3 linked regions of the Xenopus tropicalis genome follow. The protein of the gene in region 3 interacts with the protein of the main gene of each other region in a pairwise test. Links are inferred from orthologs where the notes say so. Each region holds a gene or a part of one and is shown on either strand. Other genes may lie near its edges.

What was found. The genes of interacting proteins can lie anywhere in the genome.
Region 1: the proteins of per2 (region 3) and cry1 interact in a two-hybrid assay, tested with the Homo sapiens proteins (5 studies listed by BioGRID, with this or other methods). The link is inferred for Xenopus tropicalis from reciprocal best matches to the Homo sapiens genes PER2 and CRY1.
Region 2: the proteins of per2 (region 3) and csnk1d interact in binary tests that used the Homo sapiens proteins (3 or more experiments, as listed by UniProt). The link is inferred for Xenopus tropicalis from reciprocal best matches to the Homo sapiens genes PER2 and CSNK1D.

The regions. Positions count from the first base shown.
Region 1 is NC_030679.2:15,523,179-15,527,543, reverse strand, and holds the start of cry1 (cryptochrome-1), read right to left. Parts: upstream 2,806-4,365; 5' UTR 2,299-2,805; coding exon 2,141-2,298; intron 1-2,140.
Region 2 is NC_030686.2:23,251,948-23,256,268, forward strand, and holds the start of csnk1d (casein kinase I), read right to left. Parts: upstream 2,806-4,321; 5' UTR 2,587-2,805; coding exon 2,511-2,586; intron 1-2,510. UniProt on the Homo sapiens protein: Essential serine/threonine-protein kinase that regulates diverse cellular growth and survival processes including Wnt signaling, DNA repair and circadian rhythms. It can phosphorylate a large number of proteins.
Region 3 is NC_030681.2:128,121,309-128,125,365, forward strand, and holds the start of per2 (period circadian protein homolog 2), read right to left. Parts: upstream 2,864-4,057; 5' UTR 2,635-2,863; intron 2,584-2,634; exon of another isoform or gene 2,489-2,583; intron 1-2,488. UniProt on the Homo sapiens protein: Transcriptional repressor which forms a core component of the circadian clock.

The sequences.
Region 1 (4,365 bases), on a different chromosome or scaffold from region 3:
CCACCATAAAAATACATCTATAATAATAATTTATTTAAATAAACATAATAAATATATTACAAAGACTGCTGTACATTCAACCTTTACATAAGCTCCAAGCAAGGGCAATAATGGCACTAATGTATGAAATAGATCAATGTATGAAGGCCCCCTTGGCATCTGCTGGATTCCTACAAAAGCCTCCCACAATGAATGGCCTTTAGTACATAGCACGTCATGCAATGCGTCAATGGATATAGTAAAAGAGCTGCCTGATTCTGTATAGGGGAAGCAAGCATGCACACATTTATTAGAAATAGAGAATTATGATGGGTAACATAGGGATATGCAATCTGATAAGAATATGCAGTTATTTAGCACAGAAACAACATTTGTGTGTTTTTAAGGCCAAACACACCATCTGCCTGCAAATTTTCTCCTGCGATACCATCTATGTGCATCAGGCAAAACAATAATCGTTTACATTTGTCTATATGCTCTACAGTAAATGCTCAATAAAAAAGGCATAATACAGCCTTTTTTATCAAGTAAGACAATAAGACAGCATTCTTGGTTTCCACAAAACCACAATGTAATGAACACCGCTACCCTAGAGGTAGTGTTAAGCTAGACATACACAGTAAGATCCACTCTTCTGGCAAGGTCGCCATTACCTGATTTGGACACCAAAGTGCTGGGCCATATCATATTACAAGATTTAAATGACTGGCTCATAATGGGAGCCACAGGAGACCTGTTAGGAGAGGACTGCAGCACCAACACTGGAGAGGAACTTGCTCAATGGGATTTTTAAAATGAGCAGGTCATCAGGAGGACCCATACACAAGCCAGTAAGCTGCCAACTTAGTGTGGAGTTGTGTTGGCAGCTATACTGACCTTGTGCCCAGCTTAAGGTCCCATTTCATATTTACCCAATAAGAACCATGTTCTTAATGATACCCCCTGTATCCACCAACATTCCTCAACACTTGTGAATGAGTGCCAGGCCCAGACTGTCAATCTGTGGATTCTGGCAGATTCCAGAGGGGCTGCTATAAGATGCCATAGACAGTCACTATTCAGTGGGCTGATGACGGGTGCTGTATGGGCCTGTGTACTTTAAATGACAGGGCCAATTTTGACTCCCAGTCTGGGGACCTGATGAGCCCCACAATACATTGCATATTTCTAAAGATGTAATTATTTGAGCCCAGTTCCTTTCAGCCAACCAACAACCATTACCAGAAAATGTTATGCCAGCTTACATGAAACAAGGAAGAACGAAGCCAACTTAAGGCACCAAGCCAACTAAAATACATACTTTCCATACACGTGTTTAGAAGGCAGCAGAATTGATACAGCAGTATCTCTAGTTGAGGCAACAGTTCCCAACATGACATTGGTGTTAGACATTACGTAAATGTGCTATTTTGCCATATTGTAATAATTATGAAGGTTATAGTCCTTCAGCAGAGCCTCTTGAACACTGCATATCTTTCTATAGACTCTGGGTACCACATAAATACCTTCCAAAGTCTAACAAGCCAGGGTCAACTTAACATCACCAGACTTGCCCTTTAGACTACTGTAATAACGTCCACAAGTCATCACAGGGAACTCTTGGGGGCCAACTGGACATAGAAGAACCCCATTACAGCCGCCATATAGTTGTTTTGTAACATCAATGACTGACCTAGACAAGTGTCATTGACCCTGTTTACTATAAGCTACAGAGAAGGCACTTAAAAAAGCACTTGCCCATTAGCCTAAAAAATCGGCTAGCCCTGAAAAAAACAGCTAGCCCTGAACAAGTGGTAGACTACATACACTTTATTTCCCCTTAATATTTGGTGCTCCCATTGCCATATTAATGAGGAGGGGTGCATCTAAGCCATCATTTTTGGACTCAGATGACTACAGAATTTCCCACAAAAACTTGGCAGACCATACTATAAAATTACATAGGAAAATGTGTCTCTTTAGTTCTAGTTTTTAAAGTTGCATGACTTGATTCAGTTTGGCCAGAGGAATCACTATTAGCTAAATTCAGCAACAATGAATGGGATGATTTTATTGTAGCCCTGCTATTCCGGGTCTGACCCCAGATAGTTGACCCAATACGGACAAACAGAACCACCAACTTCCATCCGGGCACTCTTACCTCCACCTGTTGATTCCCACATTGGAAGATCCAGCAAACCAGGGATCGAGGATATAGACACATCTGATAGTATCAGCCCCTTGGATACATTCCCGCAGAGCTGGGTTGTCATGGAGTCTCAAGCCCTTCCGAAACCAGTGCACAGCATTCACCCCCATCTTTCCAGATACCCCAGCAAAATAAAAAATGTAAAAATTCCAATCAGGGGAAAAAAATGATAAACCCACACCAAATAATTCAAATGAAGATCAAGTCCAGACCAGGGTCATAATGTTACAGGAATTTGGGTAGGGGTGGGGAAAGTAGACACGGGGGGGCAATCACTAATTGTTGTTTCAGCCTCTGCGCCCCTGTGGGGAAGGGATGCACCGGAGAGATAGTGAGAATAAATGGGAAGACCGCAGGGACGTTTGTAACATGGTGCGAGTACAGGGAAGGAGTAGATCAGTTCCACGCAGTTCCGAAAGGGAGTAAAGACCGACCGAGAAGTTAGCCTTCCCAAAACCCTGCCACCGTATCCGGCTCCCTCAGCCAAGTGCGTATAGAGCCTCAGACCACACCACACCACACATCCCTCAGGCCACGCCCCACTCCTACACTCCGCTAGCTCATTGGTTCCACAACGTCAAGTGTCTCATCACAGCTCACGTTTCTGCAGTGTGCTCGCTGAGGGAATGCGTTCTGGGCGCGTCGCAGTAGTTATATAACCTTCTTCACCCGGATTCGTACGGCGTTTCCACCGGCACTGCTGCTCCCCGTGTAAGCGGGTACACAAAACCGATTATTGCGCGTACCCTCCGCTGGATTTGTGCAGACTTGCCGGTGACCGAATCCCCGCCCCCTTAGCTATAGGGGAGGAGCTCTGCCTTAGATTGGCCGCCCCTCGCAAGTACCCGGATAGTCACGTTGACTAGCGGCTTGGTGTTACGAGGAAAAGTGAGCGCGCAACCGCAGGGGATTGTGGGCAACAGGGCTGACTGGGGTTGGTTTATTTTCCCGCAAGTTGTCAAAAAAAGTGCCCTTCTGGGTGTTTGAGACCGAGAGTTCGGTCAGTGTCCGCCGCAGTTACAGCTAATCCGCCATTGGCGGCTAATCCCCCCGTGTCCCAGACACTGACTAATCTTCTTGCGAGGGTCGCGGCCGCCTGCTGGCGGCTATAAGTAGCTCAGCGGCTGCACAGTTATATAACGCGTCTACTTCGGTCATTCAGGCCACACGTGCCCTATATATGGCAACTGCGGATGCGAAATAAACATGTCACAGGGGGACAGGCTGGAATTAGCCGCTAATAAGGCTTTGTGGTGCTTTATGCGGAACAATGGGCTACAAAGTACTTGTGTGGATAAATAACCTGTCCCTGTGCCACGATATTGAGCCTATTGGTAGTTTGCAATTTGTATTATTATTTTACAATTATAAGAAAATTATTTTACAGTGATATTTTCTAGGCCCAATACCTTCTAAACAGGCTATTTCTCTATACAAGTACATGTATATATACACACATATGCAATAGAGAAATGGACACAGACTGCTGAGTGCCCTGTTGGTTTTACTATATCAATGGTTCTCAACCTTCCTAATGCCACGACCCTTTAAAGAAGGAAAGGCTAAGTCACTTGGGGACATTAATCGCTTACCTTGTACCCCGGGCTGGTGCCCCTGTTAGGAGAAAACTGCACCAGCCCGGGGTACCTGTAGCGAGCGCTTCCTTCTTCTGCGGCAAAATCCCTGGGCCGGCGCATGCGCAGTAGAGCGATAAGCTGACTTTGTTGTTAAAGTTCGGCTTTTCACTCTAATGCGCAAGCGTGGAAGAAGGAAGCGCTTGCAGCTACCCTGGGCTGGTGCTGTTCTCTTAACGGGCACCAGCCCGGGGTAGAAGGTAAGCGATTAGTCACTTGGGGGTGCCTAACATTTTGGCACCCCCAAGTGACTTAGGCTTACCTTCTCCTTTAATACAGTTCCTCATGTTGTGGTGACCCCCAACCATAAAATTATTCCTAAGACCATCGGAAATATGTGTTATTTCTTAGGCGACCCCTGTAAAAAGGGTTATTCGACCCCCAAAGGGGTCCCGACCCACAGGTTGACAACCGCTGGACTATATAGTTGTGAAAAATGTCTTGTTCCCAAAATTTAAAGGGGACCTGTCACCCTAAGAAATAATTCCAAATTGTTTTCTATTGTGTTTGTCAAGCAAAATAAACTTCGCTTACACTATATAA
Region 2 (4,321 bases), on a different chromosome or scaffold from region 3:
ATATGGACACAAATATATTTACAGTCCTGGGATAGTTTGACATTTTTAGAGACACACACAATATCCTCTTTACATTATAAACCAAGTGCATAATGGTCCCCATTTACCATAATGTGTAAAACGATAAAAAAACGGTGTGTGGTTTATTTTACTCCATCCGAACGACATGCCAAATTACGCCATTATTATTGATTCCATTATTTCACACCTTGTGTTATCAGTCAATGGGAAAAATGTAAGCGTCAAGTAAGGTCTTGCAGAAGTTGTTGTGGCAAAAAAAAAAATCTCCCCCCAAAGAGACATATTTTACCATATCAAGTGGGTGCTTAGGTTTTTGGATTATTATACAGAGCTACACGGTCACTAAAAATCGATACACAACTTGATAAATTACATAATTTTTTACACGCGACATCTGGTTTATTTGTTCGCCTTCACACAGTATGATAAATAGGCCCTGTCGTGTCATATACCACAATATGGTGAAGTGGGAAGTACAATGCTAAACGATACAGGGTTCTACACATGTAAATGATGTATGGGTTCCCCCACAGACAAACCCACTTGTCTCTAGAAGAACAATTACCTACCTATATTATAGACTACCCTGGGCTGCAGAATTGTTCAGCCTACTGCTGAAGCCTTTCTAACCAAAATGTCAAAATAATTTCTCTCTATTATTGGCCTGCTCTTAACAGCCCAATCCCAACACTATCTTTATATGATGCAGCTAGTTCCCTAGGGGGCTACAGTAGATAGGTTCACATTGGGTGACCTGATGAACTGCAGAGCCCCAGCCAGTCCTGATATATACCACAAACATCTCAATATTTTACTGATTTGCATTTGTAGATGGAAGGCTTTTAAGGAAGGAAAAACACATTTGGCGTCTAGAATCCCTGGGAACTCCCAGTGACAGAGCCTAAACCCAATGTTTCGGCTACAGTATCAAGGTTTAAGCCGGGAATTACATTGCCCACAAAAATTATATTTTAAGAAATCGTATGGGTTTAAAAGGACACAAACATGTCAGATTATAATACCAGGCATGCACCAAATACCAGAATCGGTAGTTGGAATCCCAGACATTTTTAGCAGGATTCGGCCAAACCGGATCCACACCATATGTATTGAAAAAAAAGTGGTCACACACTACATCAGCATTTTTTCCCTCATTTACTGCAATTTCCTTTTCTATGTTCAGTTCAGTATTCAGCTGAATCCATACACAAGGAATATGTATAATTTGCAATACTCATTGCCGAGTCCAATCTGCTTGTCTATAATCGGAAGAATGGGTTGTTTTTATGGACAAGCAGCCACACACATGATCATGCACAGTGCTAGGCCTATAAAGGTCTCTGCCATTGGTGCCATTGTATGCAATGATGAATTGCACTTTATAATATAGCAATCTGACAGACAAATCTGGGTATGGATGATGCCAGGAAAAAACTACATGTCTATATGTATATCATGCATATGTAAAGTATAGCATAAGGCTGTTTTTCATGGTTTGGCGTAGGGCCCCAGCTCCAGTGACAGCAAACTTGAATTATACAGCATACAATAACAATTCTATTCATCCTACTTGGTGGGTTAAGGCCCTCGTCCTGTAACAGCAATGTAATACCCCCGTGCACAAAGCGAGGTCCATAAAAAATGTTTTTCCTGAGATGAGGATGAAACTTGACTGGCCTGCACCTCAACCCAATTAGATATGGTGGGGGGACTGGGAACACCAAGACCAGTGCCACTAATGCTCTTATGGTTAAATGAAAGCAAATACAGTCTCCAATATTCCTCTGTACTTTAGTTAAAAGCCCTCCTAAAAACAGCCTGGTGAAGATGCCCTTTAAAAGAATCTTATTGTAAGATGCAAGGATCTAGAATTGGAGATGGGAAAGGCTGGACTGTATCTCCATAGTAATGAGGTAGTACACTCTGCCACTAAATATATCACTATCAGCTCTATTGTAAAGACAAAACACTAGAGTAAAACATGTAATCTCTTACTGGGCCTGTCTAATAACCCCATAAGGTTCTAACCCACCATCTTTCCTGCACATAGTAGACACAAATCCTTATAAAAAGAAAGGTACCATTTTAGTGTGTCATTTCCATCAACCCCCCCCCCCCCCTCTCCTCCCCCAGACTATATGCCAGCTGCCTACCACAGCCCCCAGGTCTAATACAGTATATTGGGGCCAGGATTACACCCCAGCTGGCAGAAACCCCGTTGTTCTACTGTATGCCTTTACATTGTGGGGCGGCAAGCTTAGTCTCTCCCATAGCTCTCAGCTGAGACTGTAGCATTGCTTAGTCTCTCCCATAGCTCTCAGCTGAGACTGTACCATTGCTTAGTCTCTCCCATAGCTCTCAGCTGAGACTGTACCATTGCTTAGTCTCTCCCATAGCTCTCAGAAGAGACTGTACCATTTCGTAAGGGGAAGGGGTAAAGAGCCAAGGTTCATGTTAAACAGTCCTACACTTATAAATTATCTTCTTACCCAAATATATGTCACCGAATGAGCCGCTGCCGATCTTTCGACCCAACCGATACCTGTTTCCGACTCTCAACTCCATCCTGCCGTGCAGGCCCTTTCCTCCTTCCCCAGCTATCAGTCTCTAAAGCCCGGGGCACTTTTCACCATCAATTTACGTTTTCCATCCACTACTAGGGAGCATAAAATAGTGCCGGTACGATAGATCAAAGAGCGCTCTCTGTGTTCCTTTCACTTCCGCGCTCCCGGGAAGCCTTAAAACGTAGGATTTAGGCGGATTATACCGAGTACTTAGGCCGATTCCAACAAACAAACCTGAGAGAGGCTGTCACCGAAACTCGTGACGTCACTCTACCTAGCAACAAACTAGCGGCGCTGGGAAGGAGGAGCGTAATGGGGGTCACGGAATCACATGATCAGCTGATGAACTCGATTTTCGCAGTCATTTAATTTAATGGTCTAGGTTAGGTTTTCTTACATACAAACTTGAGAGAGAAAAAAGGGTCAGTACAACAGCAAACGTTATTAAAAAAGAGAGGTTTTGATCAGTTACAAATCTCTGTTGTTGCAGGCATACGTGACCCCGCAATTTGCCAAAGTCGCCTTGAGAGGAAACTTTGGGCGACTTAGGCAAATCGCTGTGCCGCGTATGCCATCCCACCGGCGATTTACATTCTAGCCTGTGGGATGGCATTGCGGGGAGATTAATTGCCTGCGACAACAAAGATTTGACGCCCGGCGACTTATCTCCCAGTGTGTCACTGCCCTTAATGTTAATTTTAAAACAAACGCTTAATCACTGGTTGTACACTGAGCACAAAATTTAAGAAAATATCCAGTTTTAAAAATTGCTTTCTTTTTCATTGTTATATAAAAGATATTAAAGGGAAAGTATACCTTTGCTAAAAATTAGCATAATGAATAGAACTTGTGTTAAAAATAGATTCTGCCTGCCTATAATAATTTCCCATTTTTGCCATTCTAATGTACTCATTTAAATTTTTTTTTTTTTTTTCACTGATTGCCATTATAACATAGTAACATAGTAAGTTAGGTTGAAAAAAGACATACGTCCACCACATTCAACCATAATGCCTATACAGTATATAACCTGCCTAACTGCTAGTTGATCCAGAGGAAGGCAAAAAACCCCATCTGAAGCCTCTCTAATTTGCCTCAGAGGGGAAAAAATTCCTTCCTGACTCCAAGATGGCAATCGGACCAGTCCCTGGATCAACCAGTACTAAGAGCTATCTCCCATAACCCTGTATTCCCTCACTTGCTAAAAAGTCATCCAACCCCTTCTAAAAGCTATATAATGTATCAGCCAGTACTACTGGTTCAGGGAGGGATTTCCGCAACTTCACAGCTCTTACTGTAAAATACCTCTCCAAATATTTAACTAAAAACCCCCCTTCTTAACGGAGTGGGTTGCCCTTTGTTTTTGGAAAGTACACATTTACCTGAATTCAAAATAGGTCTTTCTATTCTAAAATACCAAGCCCCAAAGCTTCCATTTTGCAGCATCTTATTTTCTACAGGTAACCATATAAAACACCCTAAATATGGACCCCACAGGTCTACTGAACAGTTTGATGCCCACTGTGCATAGACTTATCAAAGCACATGGCACTTAGAGACCCCAAAGCTTTCCTACAATTAGCTTTTTTTATGACTTTTCGAAAACATTGTCACAGAATTGCTTACATACAATGACACATCACCCCAAATATGAATGCCAGAGGTGTACTGAACAGTTTGATGCCCAATATGCATAGATATACCAAAGTCTGTGGTATGTACAGACTCAAAAATAA
Region 3 (4,057 bases):
TTTGTTGTAATGAAGGTATTTCTAATATTTTAAAGAAAATCTTATATACAAATCTTGATAGAGTGTGAATAGTATGGTTTTGGCACCAGAAAAATCTTTACAATATGTCCAAGGATCACATGAATATCACGCATGCCTCTATGCAAGAAGCTGATGAGCAGAACATCAGTTGTGTGTATCTGCATCACCTCACAGCACCAATATGGGACACTATTCTAACAGTGACAAGCAACACAGGTGAATGCATACACAATACAGCATCTCCAATACCCCACCCCCAATCATTCAACTCCTATATCCTATAACAACTACAACTATCTCTTTCCAGTAATCATGGAGACACTCCACATTAGTCCTTTAAGTAGCTTCAGGATATTCACACAAAAACAAGCTGTGACCCATGTATTAATACAAAATCATTTGTTTTACCACCGTTAGGTTCAGGACATTGTATTGTTGGTCCAGATAAGGCAAGTAACACGTTACACATGTGAAGCATATATAGGTATGGGACCTGTTATTCAGAATGCTCGGTATCTGGGGTTTTACACATAAGGGGTCTTTCTATAATTTGGATCTCCATTCTTTAAGTATACTAAAAGCATTTAACAACCCCAACAGGATTGTTTTGCCTCCCAAAATAATTAAGTATCTTAGTTAGGATCAAGCACAAGGTACTGTTTTATTTTTACAGGGAAATGAGATTTGCTTAAAATGGAGTTTACATATAGATAGGTAGGTAGATATATATAGATACAGAATGCATCATGAAAAGAACAGGACAATTTGATACAGATAAAACACTCTTCATCAAATAACACATAATCTAGTTTCTCCATCTCCATCTTGGTAATTTCTTAGATGTAGAAATCATCTGTAGTTCACATTATTCCTATTCTGCACTTTACCCCTTTAACAACCTTATACTACCGGTACCATGCACTAGTGGTTATTTAAATGCCTATTAGGAGAGCAGTATTCCCATACTGACAATTAACAGGCAATGAGTATGTGTACGTACAAGTAACTAAGCACTTTCTGAGTACAGCATGAGCACCACCATCCGTTCATCTCCCACAGCTTAGCAACGCATGATAATGACCAGTGGTAGCCAACTTGTTGCTATAGCGAGTCAAAATGCCTAGAAACCCTCCTTGAATCACTAGGGTGGTTACTCCTGATACAATCCATAAGCAAAATATGTATTCTTTGCAATTTCTTTATGCATACCTGATCTCCACAAATATAATTTTGTGCTTAAAAAGACGTATTACCAGTAAATCACAAAGTTCCAGGAATATGGCAATACTTATCCCCAACTGCAGGAAGACTGAAGCACCACTCAACAAGACGAACGAATACAGTTAGCAGAAGACAAGAATACAATAAGGGTTTTATAGAAGGGGGAAAAAAGGGCCAACTAGATATTATCTGCAGTCGCTTTTATGCCTGTACTCCAATACTCTGCCTTGTTTTTTCTGAATGCCCTGCTTCTCTATGGATGTGGTGTTACACAAGCCTAGAGCCGTGCGTGTAATGTGCAGCCTTAAATAGGTCATTCGCTGACATTCACAAGTGCCACAGCACTGGGGCTGAGAGCTGCACATTGCTATAGTCAGGGTGCTGAACTAAATAAGAAAACCCTAGATATAATAGATAATTAGTACATAGGTCGGTATGTATTATGCATCCATTATATTAAAGTAGACATAATAACCATTAGCAGATGCATTATAATAACACTGGCACATAAAAAACCTGAATAAGAATACGGAGTGCCAACTCGAACAAGGGTTTGGGGACTCTTATTAAAGAAAGATGAATCTATGTGATTCTATTACTCTATATAATGTGTAAATGGCTCCATATTTAAAGAATCTTTGGAAATCGAAATGCGCTTATTAAAGCACTTATGGAGATGCCACCACGCTGGTGTTGGAAAGACAGGGGCTGGCAGTAAAGGTAGGCTACAGATCATCTAGCGGCATATAGATAAATGAGAGAAGCTCAACCTGGAGCCCGACAGCTGTTGCTGAACTACAACTCACAAATACAATACCAATCCAGTAAACATAATTTGGTGTTGTAGAGGGTACTGTACCCTGTTAGCCATAGATCAAAAACAGATAACCTAGTGTAAGTGATACCTATTATTGACTAATTTAGTAGAATAAAAAAATGCTAGCTTTCAAGTTATGTGCCTGCTTCAGGCAAAGTATAATGTAACAATATTACACCTCTTGAAGCACTGACCTAAGCTGTTCAGATTGTATTTTATATTCCAATACATTAGCTAATATACTAATAGGAACTTACTCCATATTTTGCAGTAAGCCAAATTCACGCTGGACTAGCCAGCCCATATTAATAATACTGCACAATGCAATAACCATAACAGTATATGGCATGCAGAATACAAGCTACAGGCACAGATATATAAGCTTATACTGTATGCAGAGACAGGACAGAGAAATACATAAGAACTCACATATAATATTCCTTATAAAGAGAAGGAATCCATTCATATCATGCAGGGGCCAGGGTTGCAGAACGATAACTCCCAGCACTCCCAGAGAGCCGCTGTAGCGCAAGTTATAGTTAAACTAGGGACTCAGGCTGAACTATAGCACTCACCAATCTGCCGGCATTCCGGGATATGTCCTAATGCGCGATAGCAGCAATTCCTAGTGCAGCTGACAGCTGTTCCCTACACGATTCGTTTATAGAAAGCTTCCTAATTTTTAATTGATTCTTGGGTACTTCCGGTCCCTGGCCCCTCGGTAAAGTGCCGGTGACGTTATAATTCAATTCTCCAGTCTTCGCTTTACTTCGGCTTCACACAGATCTCAACGTGAGCAAAGCAATGGATCCGCCCCCGCGAAAAGCCAATTGGCTGCATCCCAAAAAGTCCTACCTTTTCTCCTCGATGATTGGTAGCAGGTCAATACATCCCCGCCCTCTGCATGGGGTTCCGCCTTCTGTCCGCTTTGATTGGTGAAAGCACTTATCATTCCAAAAAAGGCGAAGCCTGATTGGAAGGAGGCGGGGCCGAGCTCATTGCATAAGATTCACGTGGAAACTCACGAGTGGCAGAACTTGTAACGCTGTGCGTTTTTGTGCGTCTGTTTGTGTCTGTGCAGTGTGTTTGTGTGTCTGTTTGTGTTTGTGCAGTGTGTTTGTGTCTGTGCAGTGTGTGTTCCTGTGCCGTGCTAATCCTGTTAGCAGAACTACATGTCCCAGCATTCTTCAGAAGGCAACGCCAACTCTGCCCATTCTGTGCAGCACAGTTGCTCCTTGGTTGACAGATCGCTGACTGCGGCTAATGGGATAATTTTTTACCCTAAAATTACATTTTTGTTTAGTTTGAAACTGGAGAGCTCCCCAGAAATGTAGCATAATAATAAATACTATTTGTACCTCTTGTTGCAGTTAACCAATTGGGGGCTGTGGACTAATAACTATTATTATGAATGCTAGGCTATGGCACACAGTTTTTCAGCCAGGGCTAGGCTTGTCACCTTTCCTTTCCCTCAGGATTTTAAAAGAGAGGAGGAGAGGGGTGTAGCTGGTATGAGTGGGGCAGCGCCAGGCCAAGCATTACTGGTGCCTTTGGTACTGCTGCCCCCACATGCCCCTCACTGGCCTAACCCACCCCTATTGCCACTTGGTCCATGCAGTACCCCACAGCTTTCTGCTGGCTCCCCCATCCCTGTTTGCTTGCTTACTCCCTCTCACTCAAGCTGCACCCTTCAACAACTGCCCCCAAGGCACATGCATTGCCTGTCTACACCTAGGTCCCACCCTGAACAGAAAGGCAGTAAACTGCAGATTTATTGACAACTGCAGTGTCAGACTGGGGTGCCAAGGGCCCACCAGATAACCTTAGACCAGGGGTGGCCAGACTCGGTCTAGTCGCGATCGACCGGACCGATGCGGATGTGAGGCGTGCGTATGTACACGACACAGCGTACATATGCAATCACGGAGCACTTCCGCATCCCCGGCTTGATAACGGTCCACCAGGAATCCTCGGGGGATTGACTGGTGGACCGCGATT